Linked DNA regions of Caenorhabditis elegans. The protein of the gene in region 2 interacts with the protein of the main gene of each other region in a pairwise test. Each region holds a gene or a part of one and is shown on either strand. Other genes may lie near its edges.

What was found.
Region 1: the proteins of scrm-1 (region 2) and abu-14 interact in a two-hybrid assay, tested with the Caenorhabditis elegans proteins (one study listed by BioGRID).

What each region holds. Positions count from the first base shown.
Region 1 is NC_003280.10:9,223,214-9,229,654, forward strand, and holds abu-14 (Activated in Blocked Unfolded protein response), read right to left. Parts: upstream 4,002-6,441; 5' UTR 3,945-4,001; coding exon 3,855-3,944; intron 3,275-3,854; coding exon 2,477-3,274; intron 2,433-2,476; coding exon 2,199-2,432; 3' UTR 1,973-2,198; downstream 1-1,972. Other genes in the region: ZK1067.3 (uncharacterized protein), read left to right, coding at 62-454, 502-591, 638-898, 948-1,090, 1,143-1,404, 1,826-1,876.
Region 2 is NC_003279.8:11,687,273-11,694,056, forward strand, and holds scrm-1 (Phospholipid scramblase), read right to left. Parts: upstream 3,559-6,784; 5' UTR 3,550-3,558; coding exon 3,145-3,549; intron 3,032-3,144; coding exon 2,780-3,031; intron 2,374-2,779; coding exon 2,271-2,373; intron 2,225-2,270; coding exon 2,166-2,224; intron 2,119-2,165; coding exon 2,073-2,118; coding exon of another isoform or gene 2,065-2,072; exon of another isoform or gene 1,842-2,064; coding exon of another isoform or gene 1,837-1,841; exon of another isoform or gene 1,717-1,836; coding exon 1,694-1,716; 3' UTR 1,410-1,693; downstream 1-1,409.

The DNA.
Region 1 (6,441 bases), on a different chromosome or scaffold from region 2:
ATTTATGTTCTCTTTTTGAAAGTGAAGTTTTACTAATGTTAAATCAACTTTTCAGATCGGAATGGTTTTTCCCCGTCGTCGCTCAATAATTTCACAAGAAGAACGGATTAATAGGTTGAAGGAATCAAGACAGAAGTATAATCGGTTAGCAAAAAAGTCTACGAAGCCACCAACGGTTCCCATAGCTCCAAGAGCATCGATTGCTCCAAAACAGTCGGTAGCTCCGATGGTTTCCATGGCCCCTCAACAATCTATTGCTCAAAACAGTTCCACAGCTTTGAGGAACCCAGTCAGTCAAGTTGAACCTGAGGACGACTTCAAAATCGATCAAAATTCGCTAGATATGATTAAAAGTGGACGAATCGTCATTCCAGTGAATCGTCCATCGATAGCTGCGCCACGTCATACATTCGGAGCCAGAGAGTCATTGATTGGAAAGCCTATGAGCAGATTTGTAAGGACTTTATATTAGAAATGAACTTCATGAACTTTTTGTTTCAGAGAGCCTCGATCGCTTCCCGGGAGCCACGTGTAAGCTTGATGCCACTTGGTATTAATGTCTTCGAAGCAAATTCATCTCAAAGGAATGAGGTATTTGGATTGATATTTCTTGATTTTTAAGTTATGATTTTTTCAGGTCTCAGAATTTCTGAACAATATCACCTCTGGAGCAACTCCAGGCAAACCATCCTCTACCAACAACTCGCTCAATACCACGGGCAATCGTCAGCGAAAAATTCGATTTTTCGAAGTTGAATCCGCAATTCAGGAGGCGCGAGAGTCAGCTGAAGCTGATGGAATAGCTGCTTGTTCTTCTTCAGATGTTAGGCACAGTCCTATTTCGGATCTCAGTTTCAAGCCAACATCAATTTTATCGACGAAGAAGGCTGATAGAAAAGTATCATTGCTTATTATCCAATTTTCTTTCTAAAAAAAGGCTTTTCCAGAAGATCAATCTTGCCAATTGTCCATCGAAAACTCCTAGAACTGTTCTAAACTTTGATGAGACTGATAGCATGAACGATTCGTTGAATCAAGAAATGGAAGAAAAAGAAAAGGAAAATCACATTCAAGTGATCAGTTTTCAAACGTTAGTTAATTTCTAAAATTTAACGATTGTAATAATTCTTCATCTTTTCCAGAGTTCTATCGACACTTTGCGATCTAAAACCAGGTCTCTCCAAATATCATATTGCACTTATTGAAAAGTCAATCGAGAACTGGAAGAATATCTCCGCAGTGAAATCGCCAGAGAAAAACTCCCATGGTCCAATTCCGATTACTCCTCTCGGTTCGATCTTGGAAGCTATGAATATTGCCGAAGAAGATTCCGATGTGCAGGAATATGTTCCAGAGAAAAAGAAAAAACGACGAAGCTCAATGATGAAAGCTGGTGCTGTAAGGGTATGTGCATTTTTATAACAAGCATGTGCTCTTTTTTCAAAATTTTTAATTTTCTATCGAATTATGGAATTTTCATTCATTAATTGAAAAATTCTTTAGTGTTTGATTCGATACTTTGTCATTTTTTCAGAAAGTTTTCCGAAAAAAAAGAGTTGAAACTAATGCTACATTACTCATTTCTAGGCTAATTTTGAAATTTCGACGACTTTTTTTTGGGTGACAATTAAAAAAGATCAAGGAAAAAATCAAGAGAAACCAATGAATAAAAAACGCGAAAATTTTGAAACTTCTGTCGAAAATTCGAATTTGTTTCAGTAACTTCGTTTATATTTGCAAAATTCGGAATAAAATCAATAATAAATTTAGAAAAACTGTTAATTTGGATACATTTGTTTTTCTTCTTTTTAAATTTTTTTTTCAGCGTCGCTCAACCCTTCGTCGCTCAGCTCGAGGACTATTCAAACAGGACTAAACAATACAATTTATTATATGATGATTGATTACTGTGAATATATGTGATTTTTTATTTTATGTTTTGCCGAATGAAAACATTTCTTGTATAATTCTTAAATTAGAATAATTTATTGTCGAAACTCAAGGACAATGAAACATCATGAAAAAGAAGGGAACAATAATAAAATAATTAGACACCTCACATGGCTACCACTTATTTACAGACAATGTCATAATAAAAGTTATGTGAGAAGTGGGATGGGGAAACGAAAACAGAAGTTGTCGCATAGAAAACGCGGATACGGTAAGAATTCGTTCATAGAATTCAGGGAAGGGGATGCTTAACGACGACGGCAGCATGATCCACCGCATTGAGAATATCCAGATGAGCATCCACATCCAGAAGAGCTCGATTGGCATGGAACAACGATTTGAGCGGCTTGTTGACAGGTATTCTGGCAGGTTTGTTGGCAAATTGGCTGGCATTGAAGAACGGTAGCCGATGATTGGCAAGTGTTCATGCAGGAAGATTGACATTGATTCTGGCAGTTGTCTTGTTGTTGGAGGACAATGACCTGTAATATTGATTCATGAATTAATGGAAAATCAATATTATTACCTGTTGTTGGTTGCAGCTGTTTCCGGAGCAAGAGTTCGAGCACTGGGATTGACATTGAGAGTTGCACTGTTGGACACAGATTGGAGTTGGGCAGGCAGACTGGCACTGGTTGGAGCACGAGTTGGAGCATGAGTCTCCTTGTTGAGCGACGATGACGATTGGAGCCTGGTTGGATGTGCAGCTAGACGAGCAGGATGGCATGCATTGTGGCTGGCAGGTTGGCTGGCAGGCCTGTTGGCAGGAGGATTGGCAGGACTGAATGCAGATTGGGGTGCTGCAGGAGCTGGAGCACTGGTTGTTACAGTTGGATGAGCATGAGTTGTCCTGTTGAACAACGATGATTTGCTGATTGTTGTTGTTTCCTCCACAGGCTGGAGCACAAGCAGATTGGCAGTTGCATGTTGGGCAAGTCTGTTGGCAGGAAGACTGGCATGATCCACATTGGTTCTGTTGTGGTTGGAGAACGACAATTTGTGGAGCAGAGTTTCCGCAAGAGCTGGAGCATTGGTTGTTGCAGGATTGAGCACAGATTGGGGTGGCACAGGAGCTGATGCATTGTTGTTGGCATTGGTTGCAGTTGTTGGTTTGTGGAAGAAGGATGACTTGGTTGTTTCCTCCGCACTGTTGGTTACAAGCTGGCTGACATTGTTGGATGCATTGGGATGTTTGGCATGAGCTCTGGCACTGTTGCAGACAAACTGGGATGCATTGCACGTTGTTGTTGTTTCCGCAGCATGAGTTGGAGTTGGATGAACAGCACTGTCTCTTGGCACGCGACAACGCCAATCCGGTCTCGTTCTGCAGTTATTTAGGGCTCTTTTGTTTGACCGTAAGGAAAGACAGTGTGCTTAGATTTTTGCGCGCACACTCTGGGGGGCAATCGCGGAGAGAATCTTCATGCGCCCTTTGTTTACACTATCATTTTTCCTGTTTTTATCGGAGGGGAAAGAGCAGGAGAAGAAGCCAGCTGACCCCTTGAAATGACCACTTCACTTTGTATTAGTGAGGTCTCAAGGAATGGCCAATGACGGGAATAAATGAAATAAGAGTCTAGACAGTCATAAGGAAGCATCATAGTTAAAATTGAAAAGTTATTTAAACAAATGATTGCTGAAATTTGGATCCTGATGTACTAGACGCTATGCTTCAATTGGGCATGATCAATAAGATCATGATCATAACCAGCTTGTTCCTAAAGCCTATTCATTATTCCTATTCATGCACATTGTGCATTCAATACCCACATCCGCGCCGTGTCCTAATGGTTAGGTACACAGAAAACACGAAAATAATAGTGAGCATAAAAGAGGGAAAGTATGACTGAATGCTTAAATAAATGTTCAAAAGTACAAAAGTAGTATTTAAAAAAGAAATTTACCTTGACAGTCTCTTCGTCAGCGAAGACGAAGGTACTGGAGAGGGCCAGAACGGCGATAAGAAGAATCGAAGCTGCTCTGCGGGCTGCCATTGAAACAAAAATGTGGGGAATAATGAGTTGGGTAAAAGAAGGAGAAGGACTAGAACTCGAAGGCTCTGTATTCTGTCCAGATGGCACTGCGTACCTTTTATATAGCGGCGGGAGATGGGTGGGGGTAATGGGGAGGAAGGCGCCGGCGGTCGGTCGGTCGCGGCACACTTCGACTCCGCCCCGCGCGGAGCCAGGAGTGCTTAAGCGTTCGAAACAACTCCTTGAATCGGAGGATTGAGGGAGAGTCCAGTACCCTCAAGAGATCTCATCTTTTTGCCTGGAGATAGTGATTGAGACAATGAGGACTAGACGAAAAACATTTCATAATTCATACTCGGAAACCGGAGGTCCTCAAAGCCTTGAAGGGTACTGTAGTTTTGAAATAACCTGTATGACTTGAAGCTTGTATACTTTAGAACTATTCACCAAATGAGTGGATTATTTGTTCAGCTTTGGTAAATTATATAGCTACCAGTAAATTTTCGGAGTAAACCAAAGAATATGATAACGCAACTTGGTAGTTTTTTGAAGCGCATGCTGAAATAAAAATGGTCACACAGCGAAAAATAATTTAATTATCTTTCTTGATTTGTGATTTTAAAAGTTTTTACCACGACTGCTCTAATTTGACGACTCATATCTCGACTGTCATGAGTTATATCAAAAAATGTTCTACTATTGATATATAGATAAACATTTTACACGCATTTGGTTTGTTGACAATTTTTTGATAAAACCAAAGAGAACCGAGATATAAGCTTTCAATGTAAAGCAAAGACAATTCAAAAAACGCTGCTAAAATTGTTTATTTTTCAAAATCTTTCAGTACCTGGAAATATTAAAATCGGTACAATACTTGGATTTTTTAACGTTTTAGATGCACATAATTTATTATGTGTGTGACTTCCTTTTTCAATTTTTCTAAATAAAATTCCATGACCAATGCTTCTAGTTTCCAAATGTTCCGGACACTCTTAGCTTAGATATCAAAAATCTCTGCTTATCACTAAATACAGTATGCTCTCAATGCTCATTTGCTCTCTTCTTCTACCCGCATACTTTTTCATTCTCCTTATGCCCTTTGTAGGAATGTCGTCCCTGCTGACCCCCTCTCGCGAGCAATCATCATCCATAAATAGCAGCAACCGCACTGATTATCTTGTTTAGTTCAAGTTGCGCAATTTTTCGCTTCAAGTATTTCGAACATCTATAAAAAGATGCTCGGAGAAGACTGCTTACATAAAAACACATGTTTGTCGCTTTTCGTATCTCCAAATCTAGCCTGTTCTTTATCTCTTGATCTCCCCTACTTCACAGTGAATAAAAACATTTTTCATTCACATTCTTCATGAACCTGATGAAAAGTTGGTCAACTAAAACTCACACAATTGAAGTATTTGCTTACTTTTCGTATTGAATTTAATGGTCACTTTACCAATGCAATGCAGCTGGTTGCCATGTGAATTCAATTGTGACGTGGAACACGTGGAAAACAACTAGAAACTCCGAGAGGACCGGATTTCTGGGTCAGACATTGATGAGTCATACGGAATCACATCATTTGACAGTTTTAACCGTCTGGAGGCTCCCGGTTGGCAAATAGAAATTTCAATTGAACGCATTTCGTTGTGAGCAGCAATGTATGTAGTTTCTTGTTTTTGACGAGAGCTTATCACGTACAAATTCAGACTACGGTAAAATATTTTCGAAGAGGTACGCATCAATTGTATGTTACACAATCTAGTACCAATTTTTCCTGTTTATGTTTCAGGGCTCGTCGAAGTTGTCAGTAGTAGTAGATATACTTGAACCAATTATGATATCAACTTCCCTACTCATAAATCATGTCAATTTGATATTATTATGTGTACTATAGCTCCCTGCAATATACCTCGGTATTTGCCGGTTAATTTCTGCCTAATTTCGAATAAAAACAATGTACAACTTCTCTTCTAGTTGCACCTTTACAGAAATTCTCAAATGATTCATCCCGTCATTTGTCGGTAAGTCTCTGAACATAAGTTCAATGAATCAAGGTAAGTCAACATGAGTCGTTTCTTCTGTCTTTACTGCGCAGAGCATCGTAAACTGATCACCGAAACAGTTTCCAACTGTATGACTTCTCTTTTTGAGCTAGAGATTTTCCGGTTTAGCTTAATTGAATGGAACATTGTTTGATATTGCAATTGTGCCTATTTATGTTCTTTGACAATTTTTGATAGACATCAAAATTTCAACTTTTAATATATGTTTTGAAAATAGAGATTTTCTGTGAATGTGAAATTTCTCAGGAAAATAGCATTAAATTTTTTTTTTACAATTGCTACTGAACATTTGGAACGGAGTAATTTTTGAACCAAAAATCAAAAAGTGTTGTTTCTATAGCCAGTTTTGGAGCCAGTTTTCCTGTTGTAATTTCCTCTCAAACGATGTTTGGTGTATGTTTCAACGTGTTCTAATCCACGTGTACTTTTCCATGCGCGACCTACATTCAAAC
Region 2 (6,784 bases):
GACCAGTAGAGGGGAGTCAGTCACCCTACCGAGCGTATTCTGATACGCGCGGAGAGACACGGAGCAATGTTCGAGCGGCATTGGTGATAAGCGGTGCGGAGAGAATAACAGTACACAGTTTCAGACGAATTCCAGTTTATTCAGAGGATATAAATAGGAATTAAAGTGATTATCAGGATGGAAATGGTGAAGAAAGGTCCTGAATCACAGTGTCTGCGGATGGGTAGCCGCTGACTCGTCTGGTGAAGGTAGAACAGAATGAACGATTGGCCTAAAAGTAGGATAGAATTATTGTGTGGATTTACGGAGCTACGACGCTCCGGAGTAACGGGAGGTCTCGGAGGAGCGCGCTTGCATCGGGAAATACGCAAATGGCGGTAATTCAAAAGGGAATTATTATTAATAGATAATAAACGGAAAAGGACAACGGAGAGTGAATGTATTCGCGGATAATGAGTGGTGGCGAGTGGGTGAGCCTGACCGGTCATATATCTGCAAAGTTGGGACGCAGGGGAAGCGTTAGGCCCAAGTCACAACAGGAGGTGTCTTCTGTGGATCATTTGAATGTAGTCAACACGAATGTACTATTGAATCTCCTTCAATAGGTCTTCTGGGTACAGTCCGTCAACGACATGGTTGTGTATCCACTAACTATAATGTTTTGGACAAGGATGGAAATGTGATTTTCCTAATTGATGGGCCGGACTGTTGTACACAATGCTTTTGTGAAGATTAGGATTTTATGGTGAATCTTCAGCAGGAAAATGGCCACTTGCGTAGACAATTCCAGATTAAAACTGCCGATAACTATGAGCTCATCGGTTCAATCACCAAAAAGTGGGGTGGTGTACTTCGTGAGGCGTTCACTGACGCGGACACTTTTGCCGTCTTATGTAGGTTTAATTGAAAAAAGCTAAAATAACCCCTGGCTATTATCAGTCCCCGCCGACTTTGATGTCAAGCTCAAGGCTGTGCTCCTTGGAGCCACGTTTTTGATTGTGAGTTTTTTTGGTTTTTAGGGCAGCCGGTAAATATTTCAAACATCTCTTTCACTTGGTACACCATGATCTCATCTAAGTATGCAAGGTACTCTAGGCCGGCGGGAACCCCTTCAATTGCTGGGAGCGCTTCCATTCAGATGGATCCTGGAGCCGCTTGTATCGGAGCTCCCGGTTGAGTTGTAATAACAGCTCGGTCTTGCAGTTCAACGTAAACCGGTGGAGCAGGGTTAAGAAGTTCTTGCTCCATTTTTTCAACCTGAAAATTTTGCAAATAGAGCTGATCCTGTAGCAAAGGGCTCGCGGAGCAAAGCGTTTTGGAGCACATTTCATAGTGAGCAAAAATACACATTTCGTGAATTTTACACTTTAAATAATCAATATATGTAGTAAACTATTTGAATTATCGATTTTTCAAAAACAATTTATTTTTGATATATAATTTTGTGAGAAAAAAGTGGGTGGGACAGACACTGAAAACTAGAAGAAATGGGCGGGGCTTGGAGACCTGAGAGTGGGCGGGGCTTAACAAGGAAATGTGGGCGGAGTCTGAAGGAAAGTGACGTCATACATATATTGGAAGAATGCGTTGGAATAATAAGAAAAACGTTTTTAAAAAAGTTGGCTTTTAACAATTACAGTCACAATTGCAATCACAACCATCGGGGCAGCAGCATGCGGAGCTTGCTGTACCTTTAAGAAGAACTGTAATAGGCTCCTGGAATTAAAAAAAGGTCAATTGACAAAAAACCGGGATTGCATACCAAATTATGCTCTAATCACCGAAAAACACAGCAAAAATGTAAAGCAAATGGTAGAGGGTTAAGCAGACGGACGGTTAGACTGAAAAAGCAAAAAAAAATTGATAATTCAAGCGAAAATCCATAATTATCCCAAAAATCAATAATTTGGACGAAAATTCATATTTTAGGGAAGACACCAATCCTTTTTCAATATTCGATAATTTTCACATAAATCAATAGTTTTTTTTAGACAAAAGTTGATAATTTAAGCAAAAATCAATAATTTCCACAACAAAAAAACTTCTGTTAGCAAAAAGCGATAATCACAAACCTCCGTTATTGCGGTTTTGGCTCTGTTGCTCAAACTCCATGAAATCCTGAAAAATTAGCAAAGTTACAGTAATTCTACAGCAACCAAACTTACAATCAAAAACGTGGCTCCTATCAGTACTCCTTTGAGTTTGACGTCCAGGTCGCCGGGGACTGAAAATTGCAAGAATTATTGATTGTATGGACGGGGGCGACTTACAGTTGACGGCGAACGTGTCGGCGTCGGTGAACGCCTCTCGGAAGCAACCTCCCCATTTTTTGGTGATCGCGCCGACAACTGTGCCGTTGTTGGCGGTTTTGATCTGAAAATTTTGAGGGTATTGAAGCAGCGGACATTTTAGGGGGATAGGATCTTCAGCCGGTAGCTCACTGGCTTCCCGACAGACCCGCAAAGTGTCGGCTGCTCGGCAACCGCTGTTTCTTGGGTTATTCGACAAAGCCGCTAGGTGTCGGCTGCACAGCACAAGTCAGCAAAGCAGGTGGTTCAAGCAGCCGACACTTTACGGGTGGCCAGTAATCCTAGTAAATTGCGGCCGACGCCTCACTGGCAAAACCTCAGATAAAGGGCCGGTGAAAATTTTGGGATTTTCAATACATTCACAGCCTCAGGTAATATTTAGCGGCCGACATTTCACAGCACCTTGCAATCAGACAAGCTAGCATGTACCTTGCAGCCGACACCTCTCAGGACCCTAGAACTTCACCTACCGGAAACTCCTTATCCTGACATCCGCAAAGCATGCAACAGCATGGACCATCAATCTGGAAGATCACATTTCCATCTCCATCCATAATATCATAATTCGACGACATGCATCCACACCGCTGACGGATGATACCCAGAACACCCATCGATGGGGTCTCGATGATACATTCCTGCTGGCAGCATCCGATGCATGCCAAGCATCCACAGCAACCACCTCCGCAACACTTGAACTCACGCTTGATGGTCAGAACTTCCTGGAAAATTTGAAATTTCAGAGCATGTGGATCAATTTTGGCTTGGTAGGCCTGAAAATTTGGGCTCAGGATTGCTCCGCGAGCTTGTTGAACCAGATGCTCCGTGAGCTTACCCTCTTAAAGTTATCCACAATATGCATGACGAATCCACGTTGCGGTCCACAGCACTGTCTCTCACAGCATCCGGACTCCTCGAACGCGTAGTAACACTGTTCTCCATTTGCATTCTTGAGCACGTACTTGTTCTTGGTCTCCCAGTCCGTCACAATCTCGATGAGCTCCTTGATTTGATGCACCATGATTGTATCCAAGTAGGTAAGATACTCCAGGCCTGTAGGCACACCTTGGATTGCTGGTGGCATTGGCATCCACACGGAGCCAGGAGCCGGCTGCACAAAGACACCTGGCTGAGTTGTGATTGCTTGTTGGTGCTGCTGCTGATGCATTTCGAATTGTTGCACTGGATTCATACCCTGTGGGTTGTAGCCCGGTTGTTGGTTTATTACTGGTTGCTGCATGGTTATTTTCTGAAAAAAAAACACTTGAAAAATGAACAAAGCACAGTAGATTTAGAAAAAATTTCAAGATAAAAATCAGCAGGAGGAAAGTTCTGGGGCACCTAGACTTTTTGTAGAATCAAATAGTAAAGTTTTTATGGGCTCGCGGAGCAACAGGAACTGATACAATTCAGCGCTACAATCTGGTAAGCATAGTGATTCACGTGACGTGAAAAAAAAGATGCTCCGTGAGCTTGCACAAAAATGTTTTCGAATTTGATCTAAATTTACAAAACTTCAGCTTTAAAGCTTTCAGCTCGCGGAGCACCAATTGAGCTCAGTCTTAAACATTCTTAAAATTAGAAAATATGGCTCTCAAGCTCCTGAAAGCTGAAATCAAATTTCATAATAAAAAGCTTTACATATCAAAAGTTCAATGACGCCATACAACTCAATGATTAGAGGGGAATAAGGAGAAGCAATTTGTGCACGGCACAGACAATTTTAAATCTGATTAAAACAACCTCTATTTCTGGCTCTCAGAGCACCAAATTCAGATGTGGGCTCAATCTTGCTAGATTCAGCTAGCTGAAAGCTTTAGTTTGACACCCATAATGCCTATGCTACCTCAAACTTAATGTAGGGCTCTGTTGCTCCGTGAGCACAGAACACTCCAAATCGTAATTAATCCTGCTGCTCAATTCACTAAAAATTTGAAAACTTGGCATCCATATTGTATAGATTACTTTAGTTTGAAAATTTCCGCTTTCATGCTTCCGTGGAGCACCAAAATGCTTCGCGAGCTCAACGTGAAAAATATTGAAACCTAGGCAATATGGGGCTTGAATTGACGCTCTAAGGGAGCTGAACTTATAATAAAAATTTTATGATAAAAATTAACAATGGCGTTATTTTTTTAAACAAAAAATTGCGGAGCACCAAAATGCTCCGTGAGCTCAATATGGAAAACACTGAAACCTAGGCAATATGGGGCTTAAATCAAAGCTCTTAAAAAGCTGAACTCAAATTCGTATTAAAAAAAAAATTTAGTGATTGTGAATAAAATAGAAAATAATGTGGGTAATTTCAGACAACGTTTTTGGAATTATGTATACCCTTAGGGTTTTAGTTAAAATATACCCATTTTGTCTGAAATTACCCACATTATTTTCTATTTTATTCACAATCACTAAATTTTTTTTTAATACGAATTTGAGTTCAGCTTTTTAAGAGCTTTGATTTAAGCCCCATATTGCCTAGGTTTCAGTGTTTTCCATATTGAGCTCACGGAGCATTTTGGTGCTTCGCAATTTTTTGTTTAAAAAAATAACGTTTTTGGAATTATGTATACCCTTAGGGTTTTAGTTAAAATATACCCATTTTATCATATTATCAGAGGTTCCACTAAAAAGTAGATACTAAGAATGGTTTTTCAATGAAAAAATGGGCGAAACATTTTCACCAGTTTTCCAAAAAATCATAAGTCAGCCAGCTAACTACACAAACAAAAGGGTTGCGTGGCCGGAATACGGAAAAGATCAAAAAATTAGGAGAGACGCAGAGAAATCAAAGATTTTCAGCTGTCTACTTGCGATAGCTACCATGGTAACCATTTAATACATATGATTAAGGCCAAACAACACTTTTTTTCGCTTTTTTTGTTGAATTAAAAAACGTGTTTGAATCATAGAGAAAGTAGGGGAGAGAAATGGAAAAACGTGAAAAATGAAAGAGAAAAAAAAACCAATGAAATTTGAACAGAAAACAGTGGTGATTCAGCAAATATACAAAATACAAAACTACTTTTTTTTGAGTGACGTCACTTTTTATTGCGAAAGTTGCTCGGAAAGCTCAGAAATAATATCATAGAAGTTTTTGAGAACTTGAAAAAATTCGAAAATTAGAAAATTAAATTGAAAAAAAAAAATTTTTCATAAAATTTTTAAAATTTTCTAATGGAAAATAATATATTTTTCAAAGGGTTTCTTAATTTTTTTTTGGAAATTTTTAGAGTTTTTTCCGTGTACAAAGGTTTTACAGGCTCAATTGGATTTTCTGAAAATTTCGAACAAAATTCATTTTTAATTTTTTTTTGTGTAATTTGAAAATATTCCAATATTAAAAAAATATTTTAGAAGGTTTCTTGTATTTTCGGAGTTTTAAAGCATTTTTGAGAGAAAAAAATTGGAAATTTTCTGGAATTTTTTTTCAGGGAAACAGGTTATTTTTCAGAGTAGATTTTTAGAAATTTAAAGAAATTTAACTATTTTCGTGCAATTTAAATTTTTTTCTTTAACTAATATATTTTTAACAGAGCTTTTTTTCCATTTTGAGAATTTTATAGATTTTATGAGAAACACTTTTTTTTAGAAACACAAAACAAGTTTTTTTTCACTAATTTTTTTCCGAAACAAATATTGTCTAGACACAGGTACGCGGGTACCCATGACGAACAAAAACAACCCGATCAGATGCGATTTTTGACCCATCGCTAATTGGGCAATTTTTCTGCGGAACCGGTTTCAATTCTGTGGGGTAAATCTTTGCCTCTTTTTAATCTAAATAACAATTTAATTTTGGCAACACTTTTCTTTTTTTTGGATTAATTTTCATGTAAAATTTACAATTTAGGATTTAATTTTAATATTATTTTTTAAGAAAAAAATTGCAATGTTTTTGTATTTTTTCAGTCCGAAATTTGCAGAAAAAAATTCATTTTGAAAGTTAAAAAATCCTAACAAATCAGGAGAAAACAAATTAAAAACACTCGGAAGTTGAAAAACTAAAGAAAATAAATTCCACAAAAAACTGGTCGAAAATGAGAAACATTTGTTTTGTTGTGGCTAAAAGAGCGTGAAACAAAGAGAGAGGGAGAGGACGCAGAGATAAAAAGGCACCTAGAGAGTGTTGGGGTGGTGAGAGACGCAGAGATGAAGAGGGAAAGGGAGGAGACTAGACACAAACATATGAGGAACACACGTTGCAGGGGTGTGTTCTGGTGTACTAAACCAAACGGGAAATTATTTTTTCAAGGTTTTTAATTAAAAGTAGACAAATGATATCTGCGCATTTCTGAGCATTTACCTTACTTGAGCCAGCAGAAATTTCAGAAAACAAATTTTTTTCCGATGCAAAATTTAACACTGAACATTTTGCTAGTTGAAAGTTTTTTGATATCTTTAGCCGTTTTTGAGATAATTTGGTTCAAAGTTTGAGGTGGAAGAGAGTGTGGGAGAGAGGAGACGCAGAGGGTTAG